Linked DNA regions of Bombyx mori. The protein of the gene in region 1 interacts with the protein of each later gene in a pairwise test. Links are inferred from orthologs where the notes say so. Each region holds a gene or a part of one and is shown in the gene's direction. Other genes may lie near its edges. The genes, in order: tyrosine-protein kinase Abl, Rad51, epidermal growth factor receptor substrate 15-like 1 and epidermal growth factor receptor kinase substrate 8-like protein 1.

Region 1 (8,115 bases):
AAGATAAACTTTAGCAAATTTCGGGAGGTTTGGGTATTGTTTTTCGTTTGCTGACCACCACTTGTAGGATCAGCTTTCCGATCTAGGCGAATTTATTTCAATTAAAAATCCATCTCATTTAGCACAGTATTCTTCTCGACGTTCTCCTCATCATTACTATTTCGCATAATATCTATAGCGACTTCCTCAAAGCAGTTCCAGAAACTGTCCTGTACTTCAAATGACATCATTTTCATTCAAGTTAATTTTCTTACGAAGAGTCGTCATCGGTACTACTAAATTCATCATTACAACTTAGTTTCAGAGCTTCTAGAAGAATTAGCTGTCTTGCTCTTTCTGCTTGAAACAAATCCTAAGAAACTTGTTTTGAAGCGTGGATCAAGAAACGTAGCGACCAGATATTTGTTGTTTTCATCAAAGTTAAACCGCTTTTCAAACCCGGTTTGTAGTGAAGATCTTATTGTCACTAAATTTGGTACTCTCTCAGCTGTTTCTCCCTTTCCCAGATTTTATAATAAAGTAACTGCATATGGAATTACTTCAGAGATGCAGGAGAAAACTGAACTAGTTATTTTTGTAATCTCTTCAAATTGTCTGAGAAGTTTGGTACATTGTTCCGTTAGTTCCTATTGAGCATGACAAGGTGTTAGATTATTTAAAGTTTCATGATCTGTAATGTACAAGAATACAGCTCGCTTTTGTTCTAATAATCGCTCCATTAAATAATATGTTGAATTCCAGCGTATGCTCACATCTTGTACTAGTTGGTGGTTAGGCTAGTTAAGTTCTCGTTGAATGGATTTAAGTTTCTGCTCTGCTATGGCCGATTTTTTATTAACTGGTGTCATTTTGAACAAACAATATAAAAAGAACTAACGAACAAACTTTTGTACAAAATCGTAATGTTTTATTTAATTTGTGATTTATATTGATCTGACAAAGCGTGCCGTGACGTGATTTACTCGCAACTGAGACAGTCAAATGGCCGGCCACCGCCCGCGCACGATGGAGACAGGTCCCGACCGGTCGACTAACTAGCATGTACTTTGTGCCGAATATTCGGCGCTTCGGCCGACAGCGTTGCCGAAAATTCGGTATTCGGCCAAATTACTATTCGTGGCAACTCTAGACATCACCATTAACATTAAATAAATAATTCTAGTAGTGCAGACAAGATACTGGCGGTAGGACCTCTTGTGAGTCCGCACGGGTAGGTACCACCACCCCGCCTATTTCTGCCGTGAAGCAGTAATGCGTTTCGTTTTGAAGAGTGGGGCAGCCGTTGTTACTATACTTGAGACCTTAGAACTTATATCTCAGGGTGGGTGGTGCATTTACGTTGTAGATGTTTATGGGCTCCAGTAACCACTTAACACCAGGGGGGCTGTGAGCCCGTCTACCCATCTAAGCAATAAAATAAAAGACAGAATTAATGACAATGACATCGTTAGTATACAGTCATGTACACCTCGAGTGTACGATGACAGAACAACCAATTCAATCGCCGAATGGGTGCCGTAAGTACTTATTTTTGTTAAAAAAATAATAATATATAAGTAATATAATATGCGATGTGATGGTTCATTCAGCTCAAATAGATTTTTAATCGCCCGTTAGTTAAAGTCCGCCCCTGATGTACAAGTTCCGCCTCGCCAACAATACCAAATGTAGATGGACACAGTTCTGTAAGGCGGCAACCAGACCTGCCTGCCTGCTTGATATTGTTCTGTTTCATACATTTGATTGTGGGTTTTAACTTGAGTGGACCATAATTGCAAACTGCAATGGTTGATGCTTACGACTTCCATGTGGTGAAAGTGTCACAGTGCGGCTCGCACGGGGGCGCGCCTTGTTGCCCCGAGACTGATGAGGGCAATGTTTATCTAATGCCAGTACTGCATCCTCCTATTGAATTTGTGGGGACGAATATTCTAAATTGTCGCTGGTGATGGAACACCCTGGTGCAGAAGTACCTGTCACGCTTATGATTAATACTGCGGTGGTAGTCAAAAGTGCGCCTTTGTACATACGTGATGTAAACGTAACCTAAACATTTCACTTGATAGCATTAGTACAATAACCTTGGCATTTTAATACCTACTCAATACTTTGCTACATTTACACAGAGTTCATCGATGACATAAGTTTTTTTTTTATTGCTTAACTAGCGACTCGCCCTCGCTTCGCTTCGGAAACATTAAATTTTATTATTGATAGGAGAGTCCCGCCATGTTATGCGCGGTACAACAATAATTACGGGAGACGCCACGGGGCGAAGCTAAAAAAAGTAAAAAAAAGTAGCCTAAGTTACTCATTATATCATTAACTACCTATCAGTGAAAGTCTCGTCAAAATCGGTTCAGCCGTTCTAGAGATTAGCCGGAACAAACAAACAGACAGACAAAAATTGTAAAAAGTGTTATTTTTGTGTACGTACCGTATATACTTAGTCTGGCCATAAATACTGTTACAATTAAAAATAAACAAAATATTACATTTGAATTTGGAATCTGTCATTTTTATATGATTGCTCATTGAGTTTTCTCATTTTGGCGCCAATACGTTGTACAATATTCTGCGATATTAAAATGGAGTGAGGTGATATAGAGAACCGAATCGCTGTGATTGCATTACACAAAGTAGGTATGGAGCCAAATGCAATTTTTAAAACTCTCCATAAGCTTGGTATTAGTAAAATGTTTGTGTACCGGGCTATTAATAGGTGCAATGAGACCTCCTCTGTTTGTGACAGAAAAAGATCTGGCCGTCCACGTAGTGTTCGTACGAAAAAGGTGGTCAAAGCAGTAAGGGAAAGAATTCGAAGAAATCCTGTCCGAAAGCAAAAGATTTTATCTCGGGAGATGAAGATAGCACCTAGAAAGAGTGCGTGCTTCTATTGATAACTGGCCTCAACGTTTAAAGGACTGTATTGCAGTCAATGGAGACCACTTCGAATAAGCTATTTATACTTTAAATTGTTTTATATTTATGTATTAAACTAACACACTGTAAAAGTAATAAATGTTATTTGCCATAGATTTTTTTCCTTTGTCTCAGTATTTATGACAAGACTAGGTATATTCATATGCATGTAGTAAAAAGAGGCTATTTCAATATTACAAACAGACACTCCAATTTTATTTATATGTATAGATTGTGTGGACGAGCTCACAGCCCACCTGGTGTTGAATGGTTACTGGAGCCTATAGACATCTACAACGTAAATGTGCCACCCACCTTGAGATATAAGTTCTAAGGTCTCAAGTATAGTTACAACGGCTGCCCCACCCTTCAAACTGAAACGCATTATTGCTTCACGGCAGAAATAGGCAGGGTGTTTTACTGTAAAAACTAAAACCTTAGAACTCATATTTCAAGATAAATGGTGGCATTTACGTTGTAGGTGGGCCAGGTGGGCCATGAGCTCGTCCATCCATATGAGGAATAAAAGATAAATAAATAAAATTATGTGTTGTTTATGGTTTTTTTTTCACCCTAAAGTCGCGCACTCACCGTCTGATTTCAATACAGTCTCAAAACGTGTTCTTATCCTGAATGACTAAAAATTCAATAAAATACTGCACACGGGCGGGTCGGGTTCCTGACACAAAAGTCGCCAAGGGTTGAAGTGTGAATTCTTCGTCCTACCCCTAAAGATTAAGGAAGTACCCATTCGTTCAATCCAAGTCATTTTATACAATATAAATATAATTTATACAATATAAATCATATTTTATAGTCGTCGTGGCCTAACGGATAAGACGTCCGATGCATTCGTGTTGAGCGATGCGCCGGTGTTCGAATCTCAGGTGGGTACCAATTTTTCTAATGAAATACGTACTCAACAAATGTTCACGATTGACTTCCACGGTGAAGGAATAACATCGTCTAATAAAAATGAAACCCGCAAAATTATAATTTGCGTAATTACTGGTGGTAGGACCTCTTGTGAGTCCGCGCGGGTGGGTACCACTACCCTGCCTATTTCTGCCGTGAAGCAGCAATGCGTTTCGGTTTGAAGGGTTGGGCAGCCGTTGTAACTATACTTGAGACCTTAGAACTTATATCTCAAGGTGGGTGGCGCATTTACGTCGTAAATGTCTATGGGCTCCAGTAACCACTTAACACCAGGTGGGCTGTGAGCTCGTCCACTCATCTAGACATAAAAAAAAATACAAGAATTTCTTGATGGTACTCCACTCATTTGTACATTCGGATTACATTCACCCTACCGACACCACGTTCTTCAAAAACGCTTGCTCATACAACACGTGCTTCCAAAGTTTAAATGGATACCTAGTCCACTAGACCCAAGTTGTGACAGCTGTGACTCACGGGCATGACACATACTTAGCTGAAAATTTGTACGCTAGATATGAAGTCGTGTTATTGTAGACAAACTATTCGTGTCTAAACGACGTAACAATAACATATTCCTAAACGAAAACTCAAATAGCCGAAAAATAATACTCACATACATTTGCATACATATATGTATTTATTTTAACAATTTGACAGGTTTTGGATAGTTTTCAAATGAAAACGTATTTTACTCAAGAATTGGTAGACCTTTTAGACTATAGAAAGAGCTGATACTTTCCATTTTATTGAGAGGGACTCGATTGATAAAGTAAAGAGCACTGCAAGTTCTAAATAAAATACTCAACATATTAATTATTGTAAACGTGAGCTAATTAGCAACCGAACTGCAGGCGCGCCCCCTCAGTCCGCACCCCGACCTGCGCCAGCGGATCGGACGGTAGCGCCCGTGCTGCAGACGAAACTACAACTATTGTTTGGCATTCGCTTCGCACTGTACGCTAAAGATGCCCTCCTGGACAACTTATTAGCAAAGTGTAACACCGAGTGGGTTATTGCCTTGAAGATCCATCTAGTCGCAATCACGCGTAAAAAGGTGTTGACTAACGAAAAATGTCGATTGAACCCAAGTTATGGAGATTTTATCCCACTCAACACCGGGCGACCCGGAGAGATAAGAGAGAGAATAATGCTTGACCTTTTATGTGTTTTAAAAATATATTATGAGGGACATGTAATAACTACGACACACTGCAACTCTAGTGATTAATTTCTCTAGTGGATGTTGAACCCTGCGATCCCTTACGGGATTACGCGTTTACGCGACTGGCGGTTATTGTTTTATTGTTTGCTCGCGGCTCACCTGTTGCCAAGTGGCTACCGAAACCCATAGACATCAACAACGTAAATGCCGGCACCTAACTTGAGACAGCTCTAAGTCTCAGTTTTATAATACACCAATTGTTTCACCCTTCAAACCGAAATGCATTACTGTGTCGCGGCAGTAATAGGTGGGGGTAGCTAGCCATGCGGACTCATAAGACTCCTTACCACCGGGAATTACGCAAATTAAAGTTTTTGAGGGTTTGATTTTTTATTAAACAATGCTATTCCCTTTGTATACCTTCACCCTGGAAGTAATTCATGAACACGTGGAAGTACGTATTCCATTATTGCAATATGCAGCTGCCTGCGGAGTCGCATCGCTCGATACGCGCGCGCCGGCCTCCCCGGCCTCCCCGGGCACCCCGGGCTCCTCGTACTACCCCGTACTTTCTTTAATACTTTATGGTTAAAGAGGAGCAGCGCTTTTTGCTCTCTGTTTGTTACATTAAAATTTATCTAATAGTGTTATTTCGTATAACTATAAAATATTTAGTTTGCATGTGTCTATACTCGTAAATAAATATGTGAACGTAAATGCTGTAAATGCTGAAACATAACGTTCTGTAGAGCCGAGCCCGCTAACTGGTCCCATATTGCAGGCGAGCAGGTGCGCATCATGAGCTACAACAAGAGCGGCGAGTGGTGCGAAGCCCACACGCTGACTGGGGCCGTGGGCTGGGTGCCCAGCAACTACGTCACTCCAGTCAACAGTCTCGAGAAGCATTCATGGTACCATGGGCCGATTTCCCGCAACGCGGCGGAGTACCTCCTCTCGTCTGGGATCAATGGCAGCTTCCTGGTACGCAACCCACACATTGTGTCATCTCTCTGCGCGTAGACATGACCGCCATCTACCCCGAGACAATATGCTGTAATCCTTATACTGACACGCACAACTCCTTCGTGCCGTGCGAGCTCACAATACACCCTTCTACCAATACTAAAGCTACATATTATATAAACTTTGCTAGTTTCATATTTACACAATGTTTTTCGGCCGTGAACATTTTGTGAGTGCGTGTCACATTACAAAGCTACTGCTGCTGCCCGCGAGGCTTAAACAACCAGGTGGGTACCACCGCCCTGTCTTTTTCTGCCGTGAAGCAGTAATGCGCTTCGGTTTGTAGGGTGAGCACCCGTTGTACTGTAAAAACTGAGACCTTACAACTCAAATGGCTGGTGGCATTTACGTTGTTGGTGTCTACGGGCTCCGGTATTCAGTAAACATCAAATGGACCGTGTGCTCGACCATCCAACGAGGCAATAATGATATGTGGTCAGTCTTATTGTCTACTACGAATCATATTACAGTATTATACTCTTACCTTATGTCAAACACAAATCAAGAGTCTGCACAAGAATAGTTTGTACCTACTCTATAGAATACTTCCGAAACTATTTACTTGGGAACTTTCTTTTTTGTGTGGTGTAAAACAATGGTTTAATGGAACACTCTCTGTAGTTTTGACATGATATACTCTTTGTGGGACACCCATCTGATATAGTATAGTACATACACATGTATATTTAAGTATATAATTATAATTTATAGTAAGTATATATATTCTATAAGAAGTTATACACTATGCGCTACTGTATACTCATATGTAAAGTAATAAAATAGTATTTAACGCGAGGAGAGCCGCTCCACGTCTGGTCCGACATCACCCACAGAGTGACGTCGCGAAGGATCGCCGACTGCCGCAGCCGCCGAGTCCGACCTCGGAGACGATGTATACTAAACCGGAGGTCGGGCTGTTTGTAGGTCCGCGAATCGGAATCGAGTCCTGGGCAACGCAGCATATCCCTCCGCTACGAAGGGAGAGTTTACCACTACCGCATCAACGAAGACGCCGATGGGAAGGTAGGGCCCTATCACTAACGGAGGCTGGCAGTGCGGTAGCAGCCTAGCACAACACCACTCTATCTCTTCCTGTGGATATCCTAAAACTGACTTAAGGACTTCGCCGGAGGATGGGCAGAAGCTTTATACAATATTAGCATACGTCGATCGACAATCGTGATCCACGGGTGGCTCCTACCGTTCTGCCTGTTTCTGCCGCGAAACAATGAGACTTCAGCTCGTGTTGCAAGGTGGCGGTGGAACTCACGCGCTGATGTATGTGGCCTCGTGTGACTCATTGAGAACTTGTTGCTATGCATGAGCCACAATTCAATTAATGATTACAATAAATTTTCAGACGACATATTAAGAAGAGAATGTGATTTGACACGCGTTCTTTGTATATCTTTTGCAGGTTTATGTGACCTCCGAGTCGAAGTTCGGAACGTTAGCGGAGCTGGTCCACCATCACTCGGTGGCGGGGGACGGTCTAATTACGCAGCTGCTGTATCCAGCACCGAAGCGCTCGAAGCCTACAGTGTTCCCCCTGGCTCCCCCCGACCACTGGGAGATCGATCGCACGGACATAGTGATGAAGCACAAGCTGGGCGGCGGCCAGTATGGAGACGTTTACGAAGCCGCTTGGAAGCGCGGCAACATCACGGTGAGTGTGTAACTGCACAACTGTGCCCCCTCGCCGACCGGCAGCCCGCTAATGTGACGCGTGTCTCCAGGTGGCGGTCAAAACACTCAAGGACGATACGATGGCGCTCAAGGATTTCCTGGAGGAAGCCTCCATAATGAAAGAGATGCGACACCCGAACCTGGTGCAGCTGCTCGGCGTGTGCACACGCGAGCCCCCGTTCTATATTATTACGGAGTTTATGTCCCGCGGAAACCTGCTGGAGTACCTGCGGGCGGGGGCGAGGGAGTGCGTGCCGGGCGCGGTCGTGCTCATGTACATGGCGACGCAGATAGCGTCCGGCATGAGCTACCTCGAGAGCCGCTCCTTCATCCACCGCGACCTCGCCGCCAGGAACTGCCTCGTGGGGGAGAACCATCTGGTC
Region 2 (8,698 bases), on another chromosome or scaffold:
AAAAGAGTGTTTTTTTTTCTTTTTATTAATATTGCGACAAATATCTTTTATGGTATCGAGAGATTGCAGTTCTTGTTGGAGGTATGTTGATGACTAAGGTACATGAGCCGGCAACATCGTTCACTTTGATTTTTGAATTTGAAACTGACCAAAGAACGTTGGGCATTTCATCATCAGTTTTCCCTTTGTACTCTTCAACTGCTAACGTATCTGACTGACCACACATTGGCCTGGTGAAAAAGAGCAATTTTGAACCTGGAAACACACTAAAGATTTATTTACAAATCTTTCACAACCTAAAATACTTTTTTTATTTACGTGAATTTTACCTAAATGGCAAATGGCAGCTGGCGGATTCGTAAAGTAAGTGATCAACTGCAATTTCGTATCTATGCCAGGTCGAAATCTATAGAGATGGCTAAAATAATTTTGTGTGCAATAAATGTAATTATTGAATGACGTCATACAATTTGGTCTAATATCTGTTAGTATGACTGTGGACCATCTATCAGTTTGCCCTAAGTCCTCATATTGGTAAATATTCTTCTGACCTGATACATAAATAGAATTATTGTGTACGCACACAGCTGGATTTTGTATTGTATCTGGTAATTTGGCAATCTTCCTGTGTGTTCTTTGTTTTAAATCATATATGACAGCCGTATCAAGTACAACTCTAAAATGAGAAAAGCAAAATTTATTATTGTAAAGTGATTTTATCAAAATTTCAAGGAACAAAACAATTTATAAAATATTACCTTTAGTAACTATTATTTCACAACAAAATAGGCACATAACTGCGAATTGTCTTGATGCTCAGAGAATACAGAGTTAAAATAAATAAAAGAAACCAACCTAAAACCACCTACACCTCCAATAATGAACAATGAGTCTCCCATAATAGCAACTCCACCATGTCTTCTCGATGGTAATTCAACACCGTGCAAGATCCACTCCTTACGGAAAGTGTCATATACTTTAACATCTTTCATGAATACACTCGTACCTCTACCATGTTCTCCACAAACCAGAACAAGTTTGTTGGCACCCCATGCTACCACATTCCAACCCCATAAGTTTTTCTCTGCAACTTCCAACCATTTTTCAAGGCCTGTATCTTCACTAAATGTATACATATTATGCGATATCAATTCAGGTTTTGTATCTTTGACTATCCAGACTGGTACTGTGGGTGTGAATATCAGCTTACGATTAACACTTGCACTTACTAACTTAAAAACTTCAATATATACCCTGGCAGTGAACTTTTCGCATAGTTCATCTTTCCTTTCAGTCAAAGTTATTATAGACAATTCACTGTGTTCAGTAATCTCTAAAATACAATCAACTACTTTAAGAGGCAAACTATCAACAAAATCCTTTATAAGGATTTTTATTTCTTTGATATCATTATGACTCAGTCTTTGTATATCTAAACATCCTAAAACTATCAATATAGCATCGGCCCCTGTTTCTGAATTTATAATCCATTCGTAACCAAATCTAAAAACCTCTAATTCATTATCAGTATCTAAATATGGATGTGATAAATACCAAAATAGTCTATGAATATTTAAAATGTACTCTTTTTTCATTTGTTTAAAATTAAGTAATCCAAATGCAGCACTCAGTTGCTCTAATTTAGTATAAGAAGAGTTTTCTGCTATAATCATTGTCTCCATCCAGTTTGAGACAGAAAGATGGAGATCTAAACAGTATTCAATCTGCTTAATTAATTCTGTTATTTGAAGAAAGTTCGCTGCGATTGACAATTCTCCAATAGTTGTCAGTGAGTATTCAGAGAGATCTATCAAACCTATTCTCATGTATTGAAGTATCATGTTCATTGAGTATGCATCAACCATCTGGAAGTGGATATAGAAAGAGTAATTTTTTTAATATTCAGTAATTTACAGTTCTTCTTGTTTACAGTCCTTTTTTATTTTTAAGTTACACTATCATATTGTAGGTAGATATTTATTCCCACAGATGTCCTCAAATGGACATAGGCCTCTCCCAAACCACAATGATCGGCCTGCACTGCTTGCGTCCAGCAGATCCCGCATACCTCAATAGGTGGTCTGTCCAACGTGTGGGAGGCGAGGGAGCTAGTGTGGGTAGCCACACTACGTCTACGGTACGTTCTATACATAGAATATTATAAATAGAATAGTTAGCTGTCAACAGCCTACCCTCACCAAACGTTCCACAATGAGGTATGATTGAGGTACCATTAACATCAAGGAATCGCAAAATTATCAATTTACTACCCACTACTACTAGATAATTATGATTAAAAATTAAACATTTTGCGATTATTCATAGAGTTAAATCCATAATTATTGTTTTAATTGTTTGTCATTTTATACATTAATTTAATTTAGCTAACATAATTTATAATTTTCCTTACATCAATTTTTATTTCCTGTCGTTCGTTTTCAATATAGTTTCCACTGAACATTGCGCGAAAATAGTCGCTGTACTCGCACAAAACATTTTTGTTCGCCGTGAATCTCTGATTTTCTATTAAAAGTGTTACTTCTTGAGTGTCCTCCATCTCCTTATTAAAATCCAATAATCATATGTTATAAATGTTCAATAGAGTTAAATCAATTTTATCAAAAAGCTAACCCGCAAAAATTTAAATAAATTCGTTGGCAGTGGGGTACGGTATTCTGTATGTTTATGTTTACCTCATGGAGTTAATAAGTACCTAGTTTACCTACATTCGTGTTTCTATGTTTACGACAACGCAGGGAGCAATTGTCACTTGTCAGTTGCACCCATAGACCAGTGGTTGCACCTAACAGCTGATTTTGAGTAATAGGTTCCATTTTTCAAACTGGAAAGGCGAAGGTATGAAAAGGAGATGAAGTTGATTAATTTAAGACATTAATAAATTAGAATGAAATTAAATGAAACAAGATAATATGGGATGAAATATAGTCTCAACAAAATGGCGGTTATTTAGGTAGTTCCGTTTCACTTTTTGGAAGATACCGAGAAGTTACGTCCAGTAGATTTGTTTCCTTTTCCCACATTTGTGCACTTTCACCGATACTAAATAGTTAATAAACCACCATTATTAAACATTAATTAGAAAACTACCATTAAGTAAAGGTTAATTACAGAGCATAATGTGACTCAGTGACGCACAATGCCGAATTATGCTGAAGCTTAGTTGAGCATTATGCCGCATAATGCGCTCTTGTGCTGTAATTGGAAAACGGCCAGCATGTGTACATCTATGATTGATCTTGACATTTAAGCGGATGTGACTTTTTGGCGGGAACGCGAGGAGTAAAGTTGGGTGATTTGTTTCATTTTGTCTATTTAGTGTTTCTTCAGGTTTAAATGTGTAATAGCAGTGGTTTATTAACTGTTTCATATCTGTAAAAGTGCACAAATGTGGGAAAGTGAAACAAAGCCGCTGGACGTAACTTCTCCGGGTCCTCCAAAAAGTCCACTGAAAAAATCTCAGTAAATGACCACCATTTTTCTGAGATTATATTTCATCCCATATTCATCCCATCATATATTTCATCCCATTTCATCTCATTTAATTTCATCTCAATTGATTAATGTCACAAATTAATCATCTTCATTTCATTTTATTTCACTCCATATGAGGCCTATAAAATCAAAGGCAGCTAAACGCCTCAATGTCGCAAAATGGATTAACAATGGCGCTATCTTGTTTAGTTAGTTGGACACGCTTTAGTGTTTTCATGTTATAACAAATGCAGCTAAATCTCTAACAAATTCAGATCAAAAAATTTATTTTTACTCTGTACTAAGAACTAATAAACGAAGTTTTATCATTTAAAATTCAGATTATTAGTAATATTCTCAGTCTTTATGTGCTTAAAATGTGCTTTAAATTAAAGAATATCGTAGCTATCCGAACAAAGCTATTTCAGCTTCTCAAACCGGGAGTGTTGCTAACACTGGCCTTACCAAGAGCAGTACTTCGATGGATCGGGAGGATCCGTAATGACGTGTTTAGGGCTGATTTTTGCAGTTTACCTGAATATTTGACAGACTTGGATTTAGCTGCCTTTGATTTTATAGGCCTCATATTATCATTTTTCATAAAAATAAGAATATAAACTAAATTAAGACATGACTTAAAGGTTTTAGTTACCAGGTCATAAAATCTCTTAAAAAAATAAGCGGATGTCTTCAGACTTCAGTGTCGACTTTAAAAATAAAAATAGTGATTGAAATTTTAACGCGTATGTTACTTACAAGTTTGCTCTAACAAACAATAAAAAAAAAATTAGTTAAAATTATTTTATAATCCAAATCGTGTACTCCAAAGACACCTAACCTTGTAAAGTTATTTATAAGCAACTGAAGTTTGAATATTTTTAAATGAGCCGGTAATTGTTTGAAAGCCACGGACAATAATGAATACCACTGCTTCAGCAACTACGACTTCTTTGGATGAAGATGCTGACGAATGCGGGCCACAGCTGATCAGTAAATTAGAGGTGACGTCATGTGACAAGCTATAACTTGCTTACAAATATTACTGGATTGAACTGACTTATTGGATACAATGCGCAACTTATACTGTAGATAAATTCTAATTTATTCCATTCTCTTAACTATATTTCTTTTTAATGTGTATATGAAATAAATAAATAAACATATTGGATGATAATAAAGTGCTCCTAAGAATCCTATCTATTTATGCTTAAGTAAATCTACATATCCTGCCTTGGAGAGTAAGATATCTACATTCCAAATAAAAGATCTCTCAAGAAAAGAAAAAACAAGGGTAAAAGAGGGTCAAGTTTATCTGCTCTAAGAATTTTCAAATAGATCTCCAGAAGACACAAAAACGTTCTGTAAGAACAACATGAGTCTATGCTCATATTAAGTCAAATTCTCAGTTGTATTGCATTTGATGCTACTTAATCGTTCAACCTTACTTCATTGCAACATTGTGTACATCATATATATATCTAAATTTGGATTGTGATAATTTGTTTGTTAAATAATAAAAATATGGAATAATTTATTTTAGGGCAATGGCATCACATCAGGAGATATAAAAAAGCTTGAGGAAGCGGGATATCATACTGTTGAATCTGTTGCCTATGCTCCAAAAAAATGGCTAATCACAATTAAAGGGATATCTGAAGCGAAGGCAGATAAAATATTAGCTGAAGCATCTAAATTGGTGCCAATGGGATTTACAACAGCTACTGAGTTTCATCAAAAGAGGTAGGTACCTTTAAAATTATTTATTTATATTTTTTATTATTAATTAATGAAACGCCAATATGGCTAAGGTTAGTACAAAGTTGTGGAAAACATTTAACACATGCAAAGTATGTAAAAAAGCAAAAAAATTAGTACCTTCCTGCAGGATTTGTACCCCGTCTTTGTTACATAAATTGTTATGTCTATGTATCTACCTTAGGCTATAATGACACAATTATTGGACCTGACATAAGGGACACAGCTCAAATCCCAGTATCGAACTAGTAATGTATAGTCATATTCTTGACACAGAAAATAACTGCAGCTAATACTTGTATTAGATTTTTTTAATTAAACCAAATCTACATTGAGTATTGTTTGAATTCTTCCAGGGCTGAAATAATACAACTTACTACTGGTTCAAAGGAATTAGATAGATTACTGGGAGGTGGTATAGAAACTGGTTCTATAACTGAAATATTTGGTGAATTCCGTACTGGCAAAACCCAATTATGTCACACATTAGCAGTCACCTGCCAGGTACAATTGAATTAAACCAATTTGCAATAAAAGTATATAATAATAAATATTAATAATGTATACTATAATGATATGTGATAATGTGTAATATTGCATAAAAGACGATATGTGTAAGTGACTTCATATAAGAGCGGAAGTGAGCGAAGAAATGGTTTATGATAGAGGTATGGTAGGAGAAAACATATTGCGCCAATCCCAGGTTACTGGGAGTAGGGCAGGAGAATGATGTTGATGATGAATGTATAATATAGGTAACGTAACGGCCGTCTGGTGTAGTGGTAAGTGACATGGTCACTACACAAGGGGGTACCTCTAACACAAGTTCTTTACGAACTTATCACGGGACTAGTTAACGTGGTGTGATTGTTAGTAAATAAAAAAAAATAATACTAATAATAAAAATAAAAAAAAAAATAATAGTCATAAATGTTCATTTAAAATATTAGAACTGTAAGGTCATATTTTGATGTAAAAAATGTTTAGAGGTTAACAACAAAGGGAAGATCTTCCACCCAGCAGGTGTAATTTCTCAGTGGCAGCCAAAAAAAATTGAGAAAAAATTGTTCAATGAACAATGTCGCTTCTATGTAATATTGTAAAATGTAAAATATCTAATAATTTCATTATTTTTTTAAATAGAAATCCCATATTGGTAATTTTAAATTACTGAAAACCAATTGCCTTGGCCTTATTAAATTTTCCCAGCTACCCATTGAACAATCTGGTGGAGAGGGTAAATGCATGTACATCGATACAGAAGGAACATTCAGACCGGAAAGACTGCTGGCCGTTGCACAGCGATACGGTATGGAAGGTGCGGCAGTCTTGGACAATGTTGCATATGCAAGAGCTTATAACACAGACCATCAGACCCAATTGCTAGTGCAAGCTTGCGCCATGATGGCAGAGTCAAGGTAAATTATTTTATAATAGATCTATTTAATTGTTTTTCTGAATTTGTTATAAATTTTTTATTGTTTTTACTTGTGAATTATTTTTATACTATATATATATTAAATAATTTGATTTTCAATTAATTTATTTATTACGCATTAAAAATTTATCTTACGTGCATACAATTTTCAGATATTCCTTAATTATAGTTGATAGTGCAACCGCTCTATACAGGACAGACTATTCTGGACGAGGGGAACTGAATTCTAGACAACTACATCTGGGTCGTTTCATGAGAATGTTGCTCAGATTGGCTGATGAGGTAAGTAAATATTCCACGTAGTTTCCTATATTAATTATTTCAGAAAATACAACTGTAATTTAGTAAAGTGCTTACATAATTAAAATCGTATTGTGAACAATTTGGATTTTCTTTATAAATATTTCTATCTATTGAAACAGTTGAATAATGATTTCGAATTCAAATCACGGATGGTATTTATTTTCAAGTGAATTTTAATCCTATTATGTGATAAACGTAAAAGTTAGATTGTGTTATATTTTGAGAGGCAGTGTGTATATATTTCATGTACATGTATTTTGATGAGTTACCAATAAAGTTTCAAATCTGTCATTCCAGTTTGGAGTAGCAGTAATCATAACAAACCAAGTGGTCGCACAAGTGGATGCTGTAGGAGTTTTCAATGCTGATACCAAGAAACCAATCGGAGGTCATATCATAGCGCACGCGTCCACAACTAGACTCTATTTACGGAAGGGTAGAGGTGATAATCGCGTGTGTAAAATATACGATAGTCCGTGCTTGCCCGAAACAGAAGCTATGTTTGCGATTAGCGCTGAAGGCATCACGGATGCTAAGGAATAATAATTTAATTAAGGTGATATCATCACTGCCATCAACCTTAAATATCATTTTAAACAACGTAGTAGTGTATGTTAACAAAGAAAAAAATAAAATAAAAACTGGAAAAGAAACAATGAATGTACATAATATATATAACCACTCAAAATGAAGAAAATGGCTCTAAATCCAAAAAAAAAATATGATGGAAAAATAAGTATATTGGAACATACACTCTTAATTAATTTATATAATTTGGTAGATTATTTTAGCTCATTTAAATGGCAACATCAATTTGTGTGAATGAGCTTAGAACATGTTGGTAGCGTAGTGATGTGTGAATTGTTTTATTTTGTTAATACAATAATAACTTACGGACTTATTCATCGCGACTTATTGGACATTTATAATTTTCCAAAAAATTATAAAGGTCCAATAAAATAAATCCAATTTATAAATTTTAAGTTTATAACTATTAATATAAATAAAATGTAATGTTTGTTCTCTATGAATTCCTAAACCATTCATGCGATTGTGATGAAACTTTGTAATTAATATTGGCAATCTAGAAAAGGTTTGTTGCAGTACCAGCAACATATGACAGACAGCACGTGAATAGTTAAAAAAAATTTGTTTCTTGAACAATTGGCGACGGTTATACGTGACAGCTTTTCATTAGTTCACAATAAATCTGAATAAGACCATATAATAATATGTAGCTGCGATAACTATTATAAATAAAACCATTTCATTCATTAAATTATCACTGTTTCGACTTTATATATAAAACTATCTAGTATTTCTTTTCACAATATTAAAGGCATTTTATGTAATACCCATTCATTCATTGTATTTAAGCATTAATTCCAGGATCAACTGTAAATAAGTAGGTATGTAATTTAAAGAGAACCAGTGTCAAATAAAACTATTTTTACATTTTCATTATTTTTATTTTTTCACAAAATACAGGCTTAAAATTTGTTATATTCTATTTTCAACAATCAGTTTTATATCCGTCTAAATATATACATTCATTAATTATTCCGAGAAAATAACATTATTTTTGATACATACATAATACCTTATAAATATTATTGCTTTTATTTCATTCTTTACAATAAATAGGTTTTTGTCAAGGCTAGTGCTCTAAAAATCGTCTATCCTATTCTTAATTTATCTGAATTTTGTTAC
Region 3 (8,684 bases), on another chromosome or scaffold:
TATATCCTCAAAAGCTCTAAGAGATTTTCGTGATTCACATAAATAGATAAGGCCAGATGAAAGTGAACAAATAATACAAGTATTTTTCTTTATTTTATTACCCTTGTCGACGCGATGATGAATAGTTAAATTATTTAAATGTTAAGTTAATGATTGTAAGGGTGATTTGTTAAATGTAAACATGTTGTAAACTCGCTCTTCTTCACAGTGAATGCGCAAACCTACTGTGTCGTCAATGAGTTAAGCTGAACTAAATTAATTTCCAATTCTATGGTATGTGAGTAGCAGCCGTTAACGGCGACTATGATGTTCCGCCCACCCGTCACTCGTGTATCTTGAGACGCGAGGTCTCGCTGTCCCTATTGTGAAATCTATGTAAACGTTAAAACATTTTTTACCGTTGACGATTAATGTAGATGTATGATTAATAATATGTAATGGATGTGAATTTGATTTAAATGGAAAAAAAACATGATTCTAGATTAATCCACTTCAAAAGGTGCCAGTGTTGAAAGTTGATAAAGATGTGATCTGTGACAGTCACGCTATTGCAATGTACCTTTGTGAAACTACTAAATCTGAAGATTTGTATCCAGGAAGTGCTTTGGCCAGGGCAAAAATAAATCAAATGCTTTTCTACAATGCGACAACTTTATTTCCAATTGACAGTTTCATACTTGTGAGTACAGTTACACAAAATGGTAGTTACATAAATTTGGATACACATATATTAATTTGAACCGTTGCGTTATTTTTATTTTCAGTCTGAATATTTTTGTGGAAAAATGCCATCTGGAGTTAAAGTTGATGAATGGTTTAATTCTCTGCATTACCTAAATACAGCTCTGTCGGTTTCTCCATGGCTCGCTGGAGATCAGGTAACAAATCTGTACTTAATTCATTCTTCTGTACTCGGCTATCACTGAATGTCTTCATTGAAGGGTTAAACGGCTTGACTGACATCGTTTGTATTTAAAACAAATACTTTGCAGTATTCTATGTAGAGTGGCGCGGCTTCCTTCAAACCCAATGTCTTCTTTTAACACTGCGAGTAATTTATTTAAAGTAGGAAGTTCTTTTTTACCGTATAAAACTGGTGAATTTTATGGCGAATAGCACATAGATCGAATCCATCCAAACCTATTTTTTTGCACGTGGGCGACTCTTCCCTGGTGTGACAATCCTTTTCTAAGTACTAGCCGCTACTTTTCCTTCTTGTGTTATCCTCGAAACTGTTTTCTAAGACACACCTGCATTTTTTTTAATAGATATAAAACAAAACAGGCACGTCAGAATTTTCAATAGTGTTGTTAAACTTTGACGAAATGTTTAAATCTTAATAAACAATAATAAAATACTTTAATCTAACAATAAGTACGAAACCATAAAAAAGTCCCAAGTAAAATGGTAAAAATCACATAACTGGTATCCCCAACTAACTACCTGTCATGACGGCTACTCTCTTACGAACATTGTTTATTGGTATCAAAACCCCCTGATTCTTCAGTTCTGCTTCACAAAACTCCTTCACCTTCAATATTATTTCACGACCGGCACTTTTTACAACTTTAGACATCGTAAATAATAGTTTAAATACGACAATTGAATAAAAAACGCAATAGTAACGAACACAACAACACTTGACAGCACCTGATAACGACAAATATGGCCGATCTGTCATATTAGTTCCATTTATCCCCGTGGGACTTCTTCCAGTTTAGATTCATTCAACGTTCTTTTCAGCTTCCTAACTATTATATATTTTGATTTCAATGCAAGACAACGTCATCTTCACAGGAAACATCAATTAATTTGCTTGATTTTATTCTCTAGATGAGGATTTGCGACTTTTGCTGTGCTTCCACCATTAGTTCCATGGAGACGGTCGTTAATGGAATCAAGAAATTTGTTTACTTGAAGAGGTGGATGGATGAATTGGAAAAACTACCTTGTTTTGAAATCAACAGACGTGGCTTAGAGCGATTGAAATATTTTATGAGTCTTTACAAGCCAAACTAAATGAACCATTTTATTATTCAAATGAGTAGATGATTAAATTATTGGTTTGAAAAAGCTACAAAGTTTTTTGATCCGCAGTATCGATGCTTCCTAGTTCTATAGCACCGTATACTGTCGGCCCGAGGGAGAATACCTAAACGACTTAAAGGTTATAGTTTGGACAATTGAAGGGTCGTTTGTTACACGCAAGACTCTAGGCAACCAATGGCGTATTACCTTAGCGTCAAATGGGATGTGGCCTTTTTTTTTCGGGCATCGGCCGAACCTCAGGTGCAGACCGTCAAATCCCACATACCTTGCATGAGGTATGTGAGACTTGACAATCTGCAGATGTTTCGAGCAGACCACGGGTCCAAGGATGCTTAAGGGCCCTATCCACCAAACGACCCCCTTGCACTCTTTCAACCGACGTCCGATCTTCACCTGGGGTCAGAACCCAGTCAGAGTAGGGGGGCTCCCGCGGTCAGCACTACAACCAGACTCGTGGTGCCAACCCTAGGACGCCCGACCGATAGGTCGACGAGGCCATCGTTGACGACTCTACGTCGGCCGTCTCGGTGCGGTAGCCCGACGGGCCACCCCAGGCAGTGGTGCTGGTGTTCCGGAATATCCCGCTGGACTAGAACCAGCCAATAGGAACGCAATATACCACCAACCGGTTGCTCTCACACAATAGTTTCGTGGAACTGCTGCCATGCAGCGCGCTAGAGCGCAGGTACGCCGTGCGGTAAATGGGATGTGGTCATGGCGCTGGCCCCAGCTAGGTGAGGCCGTAGGCTAAGGCGTAATCGTAGGTAGCCTGGTTCGGGAGGTCAATGGTTTTATTGGTACTCCAACCATTATTGATGACGAGCGTTGAAGTCTTGGACCATTACCTCCACAAATGGTTACTTTGCTCAAGCAAGTGGTCAGTCCTCTCTTGCAAATGCTCAAACTTTTTGGCATGGATGATCTAGTGTGCTCACTGGTTGACAGGGTTGTGTTTGGACTTAATAAAATAAATTCGTGTTGGTAGAAATGGGAGTATTTGGAATTTAAAAAACACAACGTTGAAATGATTAAATTTTGATAGATTTTCTTTGGTTGTCAACACTGAAATTTGTTTAACCTTTGCACAGTAACATTCAAAATGACGACTTTGACGCCAACTGCTGCACCCGGAATTCGGTGAATCAACAGTCCGAAAAAACCGAGATCCAGATCCAAAAAACTGACTTTCTCTACATCTAACATGAAGTTTGTGTGCGAGAGAGAAGGTCCATTCATTAGGTACAGTTTTAAATGTGTTAGAAAGAATAAAACATAATAGTAGAATATCTGTTATGAGTCCAAACTCTCCGGACTATTCACACCCGGAATTCGGCGACCTCATTGTAATCAATGAAACGAGATGAAAATAAATTAAATAATATCAGTGAAGTAATGGGAGATTCGTTAAGCATTTTGGAAGAATCCGAAAAGCTGGATGAAGATTTTGTTTCAATTTTCCAACATGTTTCATTTTAAACGACATATAGAATGCAATTAATAGTTAAAATTAGACGATAATGCCTGAAGAAAAACAGAAAAATAAATCATTTCACGCAACTTGACATTTCATATTCCTGCCAGAAAGTAAATAATATTTATCAGTCATTATGGTCATAGACCTATGTCAGTACCTTCCATGACAGTGCCAAGTACAATTTCCTTTCTTTAATCTTTACTCCTTCACTTAGCTTAGTCTATGACTGGCTGCATATTGATTGGTCGACGAGGAGATGTAAAAAATGGCTGCCTTGCCGTCTCCTACCCAGGTAGAAATTAATAAGATTTACTGAGTTGTTTTTGATTAAATTGCTTAAAGGAAGTTAATTAATCAATTTAAAGAGTCCAGTTTTAGTAAAGTTTAGTGTGTGGTTACCAAAAATAACCGGTTTTAGTAATTTAGTGTGAAGATCGTGTTAGAAACAAATTTATTTGCTTGAATTTAATGTATTGACGTATTTATCCCAACAGTGTTCATTTAATGCCCATTTCGTAGTCAAAGACTGTGCCTCAGTTATGGTGAATAATCTCTTTAATAATTTATTAACCTCTTAATTAGTTGGTTGAATAGTAAATGTTAACAATTAAAACATATCTCGATTAAAAGTAACGCCACCTCAAAAGTGATATAAACAAGTCGAAAACAAATATTATGGTGATCTAAACGGTGTCAATATGTGGACTCAATCGTTACAGGTGGCAGGGACCCACAGCACGATATATGAAGCCTACTATCATCAGGTAAGTGGAGAGTTCATACATACTTACATGTCTTGTTGGTCATTTTGGTATATTAAATAAATTTGTCATCAACCCTGCTCTTGCCTAAGTGATCTACGAGTACATTTGTATACAAATGCATAGTTTAACTCATAGATAATTCGACTATAGCTGATAAATTTTAAAGACGGAATTTTGTATTTATTAACCAATCTAAAAAACCCATCAGATTACATATTGTATTCTCTAATCACTGATGAGATATTAGGAAACTTTAAGTATTTTATTTTCATAAACAGTTCTGAATAAATATTTTAACCATAAATTTAAAGCCGGTCGTCAACTAACTTCCTCCAGGTACTCAGTTGCCTCTGGTTGTTAAATCATTTTTCAAAGAGATGTCAATGACTAGAACAGTGATATTGCAAAGAAATTAATTAAAATATAAATAGATTAACATGTTTGCTGAGTTGGTTTTGCTCATTTTATAACTGTTGGTAGAGTTTATTTTGAAATTTAAATCTTCCTCAAAGAACCCTTCAGTACACTGAAATAGCACATGAGTGGCTATTCCAAGCTTATGATCACTAAGATAAATGTCATATTGTGTAAAATATAGGCATATGTGTATATTTATGTAGGCTCATTTTATGTCACAGTGTGTGTATGTAATTTGAATAGGCTATATCTCACTAAATTATAATTATGCCGTTGGACACTTTTGTCCTCCTTCAAATCTTGCTGAGCTTTACCTACATGAAGCTGTTGTGGCCTAAAGTATAAGACACCCAGTGAATTCATATTGAGTCATGTGACTGACCCAGTATTGAAGTCCTGCAGGCAGGCATCAATTTTTGTGAGGAAACAAGTACTTAAAAATGAGTTCACTTTACAAATGACTTTTGTGGTAAAAGAATAACATTGTCTTAGAAATCAAACTTGCAGAATTACTGGTGGTAAACATTGTAAGATAGATCAGTTCTGTTTAAATTAATGAATAGATTACTTACTCTACCAATTCAATAAAAATGCACAAAGTAAATACCATCTCAGACGTAAGATCAAATATGATAATGAAATTTGTATCTTTGATATATATGGTATATTTTAAGATTAGTTGTGATTGCCAAGAGGTGATAAAAAATGTGAAATCAGATAAATTTCAGTGTTGTGTTTTTGGTCATTGCAGCAACAAATATTTTGTACCCAAATGTGAAATAAGTTATATCTCAACCCTTCTTTACTTTAATGAATGAAATATGGTAATAATTCTCTCCAAATTGTTTCATCATTGGCCGTTTGTTGGTTTGCATTAGATCTATTTTGAGCAAACTTTAAGTCAAAATTTGTAACTAAGAATTCTGATAAATATATTCCTGTAGCCCTAACCAGCTACTTCCAGTTGACTCCATACAGAATATAGCCGTTCGGATTTTGTACTGTATGTTCCACGGAGTGCTCTGAGGAATTGTTTGAGATGATCCCATAATTTCATTTTTACCATCGCATCGCCCGCCACCGATATAGAGTTCATCCATACTAGAGCCAATGTGTTCATCCACACAATTTTTTGCCATGTACCACTAGGGTTTGGAATGAGCTTCCTTCCATGGTGTTTCCCAAGCACTATATGCCCTTCTTCAAATGAGGCTTGTGGATAGTATTAAAACGTAGGCAGCGGCTTGGCTCTGCCCCTGGATTGCTGACGTCTAGGAACGACAGTAACTACTCATCATCAGATGGGCCGTATCCTACATAAGTAATAAAAAAAAGTTATGATTTACAAAATTTTTATACTAGTGCTAGATATAAGCATAGGCCAGTACTGTTGGATTCTTGATTGTAAGTTAAATAACTTAGAGGCTGTGTGCACATTACAACAAGAACAGATCAGGAAATGTGTTGCTCTAAACTGGCTCTGATCTAACATGTTGGTTTCTTCAATTACAGATGCAATACTTCCTTATTGTTCCTTATGTGCTCTATTCAGTGTATTTTCTTGCTTTTTAAATCAGTACTTACTAATATTGGAAATGCAAACATGAATACATAGGCGGCACTGAAAATTTCGGGAATTAATGAAGTGACACAACATTACTATTTAAAAATGTATTTATTGCTTTTCGAAGTATTCTCCGCGAAATTTGACACATTTTTCCATACGATGGAACCAATCATTGAAGCAACCATTCCATTCGGAAGTTGGCGTCTCCAAAATGGCCGTTTTGTAGGCGTCCACAGCTTCTTCAGGTGATGAAAATCTCTGTCCACGCAATTTATTCTTTATTTTAGGGAAAGTATAGAAATCATTAGGGCTTAGGTCGGGGCTGTACGGCGGATGGTCTAATAATTCTATGTTTTCTTGCTCTAAAAACTCTTTTGTTCTGTGCGCGGTGTAAGAACTCGCATTGTCGTGATGGAGGATGATGCGGCGGTTGCAGTTCTCTTTACGGAGTTCAGAAACGACCTGTGGCAAACAAATGCTAGCATACCATTCTGCATTAACCGTTCTTTGTCCCTCAAGAGGAATAGTCGTAACATGGCCGGTTTTGGAGACAAACGTGGCCACCATTTTTTTTGCAACACTCCGTGAACGAACAATTTTTGTTGGCTTTAACTCATTTTCGAACACCCAAACTCGTGACTGGTTTTTTGTTTCGGGTTCGTACGCGTATATCCAGGATTCGTCACCTGATACAATGTTGTATACAGCATTTGAGGATCCTGCGTGGAATCTTTCGAGAGTTCTGACGCACCAAGTAATGCGACCCGCTTTTTGCTCTTCACAGAGCGAATGCGGTATCCATCGGGAAAACAACTTTTTTACACCTAATTGTTCATGCAAGATTATTTGTATTTGACTCATGCCAATGTCTAAAGTTGCCTGAATTTCGCGGTATGTCACATGTCGATCTTCCTCAATCAGCTTACGCACAGCATCAACGTTTTCTTGGGTCACTGCAGTTTTTGGACGACCTTGACTGGGATCATCACTGGGCTTGACACGTCCATGTTGAAACTCAGCAAACCTGCGATAAATTGTGGTTTTGGATGGGGCTTCATCACCAAATGCAGAAATCATCCGGTCAACACATTGTTTTTGTGTTAAACCATTTCGAAAGTCATAATAAATCATCGCTCTTGAATTTTCTCGAGTCAATTCCATTTTTTCAACGACTAAACAAGTTTGACAAAACGTCGTGACAAGACCGAGAATCTTTTTTTAAATAAATAAATGGTATTCGATTTTTAAAACCAAGGAGTTTTTAATTAAAAAGATTTTAATATGACAGGAACAGTGGAAATATTCCATTCCCGATACTTTTAGTGCAGCCCTCGTATGTTTGTCTGTTTCACATTTTAAAGCTAAACTTTACAATACGATTATAATTGAAGAAATGATGCCCCTATTTAACACCTGTGATCCTCTTATCGTTAAGATGAAAACCTAAATCAAACAATTTGCCAGATCTCGAGTTTTTTATAGTAAAATAGACTTTAGTTAACACTAATAAAGCACGGAGAGACTAAACCCTCTAACCCTCTAACTAATACTCTATGGTCCTCTGGCACACTCAATTTTAAGTATTTTTCCTTTGGAGTTTTGTTTTACACTTATTTAAAGGTCACATTGTTTTATGGTTAAATCAAGAGGCATTTGGCATATGAATATGAAGGTGGGTAGGCGAAAAATTCATTCTGGATAGGATTTGGGTAAAATCCTTTCTCAAATGCCAAATTCAAAGTTCATGGTAATGGATGGATTCAGAGATCTCGTGATGAAGCGCTACATACATATAGCGGAGCAGTCTGACGGACCTTATTACGATTACAGGTGGACCCAAACGGCACTGGGGTCATTCAAGCGCTAGACGCTGCTCGGTTCCTCAAGAAGTCTCGGCTTAGCGACGTTGTCCTCAGCAAGATATGGGACCTATCAGATCCAGCCGGCAAGGGTTGTCTTGATAAGGTAATACATATTTCTTGTTATTTGTAGGTGCTTGATTATTTACACAGTGCAAGCTACCGGACTTGATATAAATATAAGTTGAATGTTAGTAGAGGCATTGCAGACGACGACGACCCAATTAGACACAGATGTGCTTTGTGTCTGGGCTCGACCTTGTTGTCTTTGATACGTTAGGTATGCTTCTTCTCCAGTGTAATTAGAGAAAATAACGAATAACGGATTACCAAAACATCATCATCATTATCCTGCCCTTCTCCCAGTCACCTGGGGTCGGCGCAACATGTTTTCTCCTTCCATACTCTTCTATCATATACAATTTCTTCGCTCACTCCCCTCTTACCCATATCGTCTTTCACACAATCTATCCATTTCTTCTTAGGTCTACCTCTTCCTCTATATCCTTCCACATTCATAGTTAACACTCTCTTACCAACCTCATTTTAATTTC
Region 4 (8,115 bases), on another chromosome or scaffold:
GTCCCACCATTTAAATAAGGGCTTATGACCGAAATAGACTGCCATCTAACAGTGTGAACTTATTGTACCCTACTATAGCATTACACAAGCCTGGCGTATGTTGGCGTTTGAAGGACGTTATTATCTAATAACATTGTTAAAGACCGGTTAAACGCATATCGGTTTGCTTGGCACGTTGCAATGGATGAGAGGTGACATCAGATTCACGGATATACTTACGTAAAACTACAAAATCCCTAAGCAACATGTTAAGAGAACATGCTACGTCGACTCTATATAATGTGAAGCAAGCGTAAGAAGAATAAGAACAAAGGTCTATCTATGGGTTGAAAAGTAGCAAAAGCAACTCTTTGTCGAGGGAAGTTGCGATGTCTTGCTTTCTGAATTATAAATGGAACCCTAATGAAATCGAGGAGCACGTCTCGGGGGTGAATAAAAAAGGCACAATTAAAACTACTTTTTCGGGGTAAATTAGCTATTTTTATTGTCATACTCGCATCCAAACAACCAATTAACATTCTTCCTCAGTACTGTGCGCAAATAATTGTAAAAACGATAAAGCTATTTTTGAATTACATACAAAGAATTTTAATCCGTCAAAATTAATACATTATACAGTACCACTGTATCATAGAGATAAACAATGATTACATGCTTCTGTGTTTAGTCGTTATGAATGAAAATCATCGAACAAGAACATTATGCGGGACAAACATGATGATACATTATCAATTGTCCGACTTCATTCACGGAAAGCATGCACACCCACTTAATTCGCTAATAATACGAGCTTAATAATTATTATTTCGCTAACAACAGGCCTTATTGGAAGGCTCAAATCTTCTCAAGAATAATAGATGTTGCTAAGATCAGAATTTCCCTGCGTCAATGAGGAGGTTCATAGGACAACCATGGTAGCTGAGATAGGCCTCAGGGTTGAATGGTTGAAGTAACAATGGATAAGGGATAAAAGTGTAGTAGATACAGCGTACCGGAAAGCTAAGTCTAAATGGAGTCCCACAAGGTGGACAAGCCGAGACCGAGCCATGAAAGGACCTATATTCTGCAGTAGATGTCTGCGGACCGATGCTGTCATAATGATGACGAAATAAGGATGTAATCGTTCTTATAAAATCGTAAAAGTTTTTTTTTTGTCAAACTTCAAATAACGTTCGCCTTGTATAATTTTGAGTCATTATATTAATAAATCATAAATTCATAAATCTTATCAAAAAGCAATATTATAATTTTTTTTATCTATTGATATCGTCTTTTCGTTGGAATCCTTGTAAATTAATCCAAAGGTCGTTTTATAGCTGTTGCTTTAAGCCTTCGTCAAACAGAACGCGTACTTAGCGTCGCGTACTTAACGTCGCGCTCTTTTCATGTCACACAAATTGACTAGATGAGCCCAACGCTCCTTGACGCAACGCATTCGCCAAATTATAGTGCCTTTCGATAGCAGTGTGAAAATATAAAAGTATTAAGAAATCGAGTGATTCAAATGTGGCATTGTATAAGCATGGATATTTTCTAACTACAATTTATATAATTTTTTCGGGCATTATCTACTATTTTAATACACATTCACTCCGACGCTAAAATAAAATTTGTAAAAGATTACAACGCCTGACGTCAAAGCGTCCTAACGCCGCGACAGAGCGCTGCGTACTTATAGCGCTGGGGCTCTGTTTGACGGTATGTTACCATCACAGAACACTATTACTTCTAGCGGTTACCATAGTATTACAACACATCTCGGCGTCATAGCGCGGCGTCAGTTTAGCGCTCTGATGCGCGCTAATTACGCGTTCTGTTTGACGAAGCCTTTAATACCAGAGAGATTTTAGTAATTGGTATAATTTGCCTTCAGATATAAACATGATATTTCATAAAATGCACACTACAAAAACATCCATGTTGCTTACTGGTTTTACTGGTCTTGTTTACTAGTGGTAGGACCTCTTGTGAGTCCGCGCGGGTAGGTATCACCACCCTGCCTATTTCTGCCGTGAAGCAGTAATGCGTTTCGGTTATAAGGGTGGGGCAGCCGTTGTAACTATACTGAGACTTTAGAACTTATCTCAAGGTGGGTGGTGCACTTACGTTGTAGATGTCTATGGGCTCCGTGAGCTCGTCCACCCATCTAAGCAAAAAAAAAAAGATATATAGATAATATTTCACGAAACGCACACTACAAAAACCAAATTTCACATATATTTACCAAAATTATGATACTATGGTAACATATTGGTTATATTTTTGTCTCTTTCTAGTATTTTCTGTTTCAATCTGTTGACTCATTCGATGGCGCAATAGTTAACGCTCCTGACGCTGGGTCTAAGGTTGTCGATTCGATTTCCACATCGGCCAAACAATTGTGTGATAAGCAGGCTTGTTTGTTCTTTGTCTGGATGTTTAAATATCTATTTATTTATATACTTCAACGCATATAGCACGTTTATAAGTCTCTGGGTTCTGTAGTACTGTAGTATTCTTGGTTTGGGGGCCAGTGTGGTTAGTATGAGTTTTTTAACGTTCTCGATAGCGTAAAAGTTAACTTCAATTTGCATGGAGTTGGAATGTTTGCCTAGGTTTGCCGTTAGGGGCGCTGTTCCAACTGCATACAAATTTGAGTTAACTTTTACGCTATCGACAACGTTAGAAAAAACACGCACTAAGCTCACAGGTGATTTGTCCCCAGCTATCACAATCGTTTGAGTTTGATAGTTGAAGCAAATGACTGATGCCGTGTGACTATTCATAGGCTACATGAGTCGTCTATTATCAAAGGTGGCAATCTGTGCATTTGGACAAAAAAATGTTATTGATATGGCAATACAGATTGATTTGAATATCAATCGTCTCCTTCAAAGAATATGCTTCAAAACCTGCATTAAATAAAGTATTAACTTAACCTGTTATTTATCTAAGATGTCGTTCAGAAGAGTTTTGTGACTGCCAATGAAATACAAAGTCAATAATTCGTTTTTCTGATTTAACAATAATTGTCCAAAAGTCACATTGCCAGCTTTGATAATAGTCGACTCACATAATCTTTACTAATGACATTAAAACAATACTTTCGTTCGTACGTTTGACATTTGAATGATTTTATAAAACCATATTTTCATTGTTTAGAGCTTCATATGAATACTTATAGCAAAATAAACGCAAAGCAATGTAACTTTTATCATTACCTAAATGTTGCCTGACTAAAATACGTGACGTATTTTTTTGGAAATACTTTTTAATTTTTTTTTTAACGCGTAACATTCATCATTAGCTGTTGTCAGATTTGAAAGATGTTAAACAATATAATTGGGTCCTCGACTCAATATCTCAAGGTGGATCCAAGCCAGCTTGTTCATCGGATAACAAAAAAATATTTGAAAAAAATATATTTTACAGGGAGCAATGGAAAACACAGATACCACCATATCAACCGGTTTTCATGGACGGATGGACTCCAGATTACCAAGTCGATGACCAACCTTTACGCAGGTGAATATACGAATGAATAGTTTGAAACATTTAGAATCATCACAGTGTAATATGTCGTTAAGAAAATTAGATCAACATAATGCTTTTAATGTTTCATTTTGCTAATAACATTTAATTAAAGATTATTTAATGTGTATTCAATTGAATGTATCATGAGAATGGATCAAATAACTTATACTTAACATTAGGAGTGGGTAATATCGGTTTTGCCGCGTATCGAATCGTATCTATATATCGAGGATCAATATCGGATATTGAATCTATATATTTTCTGAATCTATATATTGATGGATGCTAGTAGATTTTCTCGATTCATGATATTTGAGATTTGAAACGATACGATGATATAGTATTGTAGTAGATATAGATTCAAGTCAACGTTATACGGTTGGTTTTCTGATATCAATTTATAATAATAATATGATTTTAAAGTAATAAAAAGAACATGAAAATAAAAATATCAAAAAAACTTTCCTTCATGCTTTTACCAGGCTTAGGACCGGCTACATTATTTTCAGTTTTTAGTATTTTGTGTCTTAATTTAAAATTACAAAATATACCAAAAGCGTGTAGATTAGGTAGAATATTTCATAATACTAAATACATATATTTTAGGTAACATTCGCGATTTCGTTCGCGCCTAAGGTACCTAACGTGAGTATTGCCTAGATGAAGTCTCGAGAAAATATCGGAGACGTATTTAGAAGTTCATTTGATAATATTTATACATCATACACTACAAAATTAATTCAGAAATTTTATTATTTACTAAGTTTATGTTAAAATAAAAGTTTCTAAACTTTCAAAAGTTTAATACAAACACAACAAATAAACTCAATTATTTGGATTCAACTAAAAATAGAAAAATGTGTACTTTAAAAATCAAACACAAAAAACTTTTAAGTATTTATAAACACTTATCCAAAAATTTTAGTTCAAGGTCAAAGCGCGTGAAATTAAATTCAACGGTGCAAATAGGCTATACTGCATTCTAATTAGGGTCGAAAGTTGAAACTTTTTTCCTAAATTGTATCCTGCTGATACACTAAGAATAATCTACAGACGTATGGACTTAAATATAAGGTTTATAATTGTATGGATAATGCCTGTTTCTGTTTCATTCATCACATGATATCCCTATCGTCCGCTCACTCACTCTGGCCGATTCGATACGAACCAAACGAATATTGCTGATATTCACGAATCGGTACGATACGCCGATGCGCATCACATCGAGCAATATCGTGTATCGGCTGATATCGTTATATAGATTTCGATTCACGAATCGGTACGATATGCCGATGCGCATCACATCGAGCAATATCGTGTATCGGCTGATATCGTTATATAGATTTCGATTCACGAATCGGTACGATATGCCGATGCGCATCACATCGAGCAATATCGTGTATCGGTTGATATCGATATATAGATTTCGTGCGGGGCGATATCGGATTCAACGATATTGCTGCGATATATAGATATTGAATCTATATACGATTTATATCACCCACTCCTACTTAACATTAGTATTTAAACTGATCATGGATGGGTTGGATCATAAAATCGACTATTGCAAAAATCGATTTTGGAAATATCAAAACAATACGCTAGATGGCGCTACTTGCAAACTTGACAGAGCGCTAACTTCATATTTGACGCTTGAAAGGCAAACGTGACTAAGCTACAATAACTGCTTTGTACATAAATGATAGGCAATAACCATATTCGATGCGCAAAAAAAATTATATTTCTAGGTATATTAAAATCATTTCAATCCTACAGCTACTAGCTAGATTCTACTACAGCTGAATTCGTTATAATAAATTTTGTTTTCAGGTATTTCAACTTTAAATTAGTCTACTGTAAAGTTCGCACATTGTCGCTTAGTCACGTTTGCCTTTCAAGCGTCGATATCATTCTTAACATAATATACGACAACAGCAAAAAAAATTATGCGTAGTGTCTTCGAATTGTCGCATGTTTGTGACGTCAGCGAATCATATTGTGTTCGTCCGCTTTGTGAAGGTCATCGCCCAGACGCAGCGAGCTGGGCAGGGGTACAATGGAACGGGGCGTGGAAAGGAGCGAGGGCGGGCAGGTGGCGGGTTTCACGTTCGAACGAGAGGAACCCGAGATATACAACGAGCAATACGCTCCGTTCGCCAGGTAGAATCTTAATTGAAAATCGATTTTCGACGCAAAGCGATTTTCAATTTAATGTTATCGATTCATGATACAAATCGATTTTCGATTGATTGTAATTTATTTATCTCTACTGTGTGTTTAAAAAATGACAATTTGGAAACCTTTGTTAAATCCCTACAACCTTTCACATTGAGTGTTGAATACTTATATGAATTACAATTTACTGTAATGACGAGATGTGTGCTATCATCCTTATATATTTCCTATAATGAAATTTGTCTATAGAAGCAAAACATAAAATTAAATGAGCTATCCATCAGATGGAGTAATCTGTGGCTATACACGTCTCAAGATAAACATTCTGTACTGTAAAACTGAGACTCAGAATTGATGCTCAGGATGGCTGGCGGTATCTACGTTATCGATGCCTATGGGCTCCGTTAAACATTTAACAACCTGTGGGCCGTGAGCTCATCTACCCGTCTAAGGAAAATTAGACAGTGTCATTAGAGATTGGCTTTATTAACAATGAGCATCAGCTTAATCGACATAAAGCTTGAAAATAGATTATTTTGTTATACTAACTACTTTACCATTCTAAGGCAAAGCAAAATTACATCTAATACAATATGCTAGAGATACCGTTACGAAACCTAAGAGGCCAAGGTAATTCCCGCCATTCTCAGTACCCGCCATTAGTATACATCACGTCATTAAGGATCCTCCCGATCCATTAACGGTGCTTTTAGGTACCTCAAGCACTGGTCACGGTGCACGCTGAACCCGTCGCTTGCAACGAAGGGCTCGACTGGTAAATTAACCCATAGACACAGCCCACTGAGTTTCTCGCTGGATCTTCTCAGTGGGTCGCGTTTCCGATCCGGTGGTAGATTCTGCGAAGCACTGCGCTTACTAGGGCCAGTGTTAGCAACACGCCCGGTTTGAGCCCCGTGAGCTCACCTACACGTTAAGACAAAGCTGAAACAGCCTCAAGCTGAAAAAAGGATACAGTTCTGTTACATGAGAAATTTTATTATTAAATTTCAGAAATAACTTGAGACCACCAATCGGCCGCGAAGATTCGGGCTCCGCTGCCTCATCGCCCGACAGAGAGCCCCCGTATCGCCCCGCAGACAGAGATGAAGGTAAACAATAGTCTCGACAGTTCTCCGAATGCAATTTGTCCATAAACAATTAGAAAGGCATCCAATTTCGATTAAACAAAAAACGAAACTATAGACCAGTGGTCGGTTGTCAATCAAAAGAGCCAACGAGAATCCACAATTGAATTTTTGTTTATTATATTTTTGTAGCCTTATGTTTCAAAATTGTTTACGCGTCTCTTGCAAAGCAAGATAATAATAATAACATTCCGTGCCTGAACTAAGGCTCATTGACGTCAGCAATGCCGGGGGCAGAGCCAAGCCGCTGCCTACCATAAAGTACTCTGCACAAGCCTCGTTTGAACAAGGACATGTCATAGCGCTCGGAAAACACCGTGGAGGGGAGTTCATTCCAAAGCCGGATGGTACATGGCAAAAAAAATCTTTGGAAACGCACTGTCAATGAACGCAGCGGTTCCAGATAATATGGATGAACTCTGCTCCGATGGCGGGAGGTGCGATGATAAAAAGGAGATGAGATCTGTGATTAAAGAAGTCTTTGACAATAGAACCATAATAATTGTCAAAGTTTTAATTACAGTTAATTATAGTCGAATTTCGACTATTGGGGAGCGACTACTCTAAAAAATATAAACTCCCTTAGACAGGGTTTTTAAACTTATTTATTATATTATAAACTATTATATTATATTATATATTATAAACTATTAATTTTTTCAGCAGATTTGGGTGAAGCGTGGGCCCGGGGCGTTGCGGCCCGGGGAGGCCGCGTTGTGCGCGTCACCTACCCTCGCACTGCAAATAACGATAAAGAATTAACTGTCGTTAGGGGAGAGTATTTAGAGGTAAGTTCTAATCTTGTTCAGAATTCTAGCAAATTCTCCCAATCTCAAGCATGAGCTAAGTACGTATTTCAGTAGAAAAAAAAGTGGCTTCCTGCGGGTTTATTCAAATACGGCTAGTTTAAATTGATTGTATTTTTTATTTATTGCTCAAGACATTTAATGCCAACCACACGGCGCCATGAAGGATTTGGGAACCGAGCACACGGCGCCGGGCTTGTAATTATGTTTCTTTTTATGCAGCAGTATGTACCGTTTCCACCGTTCGTGTTGATAGCATTATGTGACGCATATGGACATATGCGTAAAGTAGCGATCTTATAAGATCAATATATTGATCAATGCACGCACAACGGCGCCGTGAGTCCGGGCCCTCGATCCTCCACAGCGCAGTGTGTTCGACATTAAATGCGTTAAGTGGGTGGACGAGCTCACAGCCCACCTAATGTGAAGTGGTTACTCCGGTAACCACTTCATATCTGCCTATAAACATCTAC

Evidence for each region.
Region 2: the proteins of tyrosine-protein kinase Abl (region 1) and Rad51 interact in a two-hybrid assay, tested with the Caenorhabditis elegans proteins (2 studies listed by BioGRID). The link is inferred for Bombyx mori from reciprocal best matches to the Caenorhabditis elegans genes abl-1 and rad-51.
Region 3: the proteins of tyrosine-protein kinase Abl (region 1) and epidermal growth factor receptor substrate 15-like 1 interact in a two-hybrid assay, tested with the Caenorhabditis elegans proteins (2 studies listed by BioGRID). The link is inferred for Bombyx mori from reciprocal best matches to the Caenorhabditis elegans genes abl-1 and ehs-1.
Region 4: the proteins of tyrosine-protein kinase Abl (region 1) and epidermal growth factor receptor kinase substrate 8-like protein 1 interact in a two-hybrid assay, tested with the Caenorhabditis elegans proteins (2 studies listed by BioGRID). The link is inferred for Bombyx mori from reciprocal best matches to the Caenorhabditis elegans genes abl-1 and eps-8.

Annotation. Positions count from the first base shown.
Region 1 is NC_085107.1:91,309-99,423, reverse strand, and holds part of tyrosine-protein kinase Abl, read left to right. Parts: intron 1-5,804; coding exon 5,805-6,004; intron 6,005-6,970; coding exon 6,971-7,069; intron 7,070-7,463; coding exon 7,464-7,712; intron 7,713-7,782; coding exon 7,783-8,115. UniProt on the Caenorhabditis elegans protein: Functions downstream of migratory protein mig-13 and is involved in Q neuroblast migration during larval development.
Region 2 is NC_085131.1:10,825,985-10,834,682, reverse strand, and holds Rad51 (rad51 homolog), read left to right. Parts: upstream 1-3,284; 5' UTR 3,285-3,480; intron 3,481-4,133; 5' UTR 4,134-4,409; coding exon 4,410-4,493; intron 4,494-5,032; coding exon 5,033-5,232; intron 5,233-5,603; coding exon 5,604-5,751; intron 5,752-6,456; coding exon 6,457-6,665; intron 6,666-6,837; coding exon 6,838-6,967; intron 6,968-7,285; coding exon 7,286-7,531; 3' UTR 7,532-8,449; downstream 8,450-8,698. Other genes in the region: kelch-like protein 26, read right to left, coding at 26-255, 330-676, 856-1,865, 2,411-2,560, 2,727-2,834.
Region 3 is NC_085125.1:125,796-134,479, reverse strand, and holds the start of epidermal growth factor receptor substrate 15-like 1, read left to right. Parts: upstream 1-3,753; 5' UTR 3,754-3,788; coding exon 3,789-3,815; intron 3,816-4,017; coding exon 4,018-4,065; intron 4,066-4,242; coding exon 4,243-4,287; intron 4,288-8,101; coding exon 8,102-8,236; intron 8,237-8,684. Other genes in the region: glutathione S-transferase 2, read left to right, coding at 482-679, 765-878, 1,834-2,019.
Region 4 is NC_085133.1:7,036,703-7,044,817, forward strand, and holds part of epidermal growth factor receptor kinase substrate 8-like protein 1, read left to right. Parts: intron 1-3,411; coding exon 3,412-3,504; intron 3,505-5,532; coding exon 5,533-5,673; intron 5,674-6,699; coding exon 6,700-6,797; intron 6,798-7,496; coding exon 7,497-7,621; intron 7,622-8,115.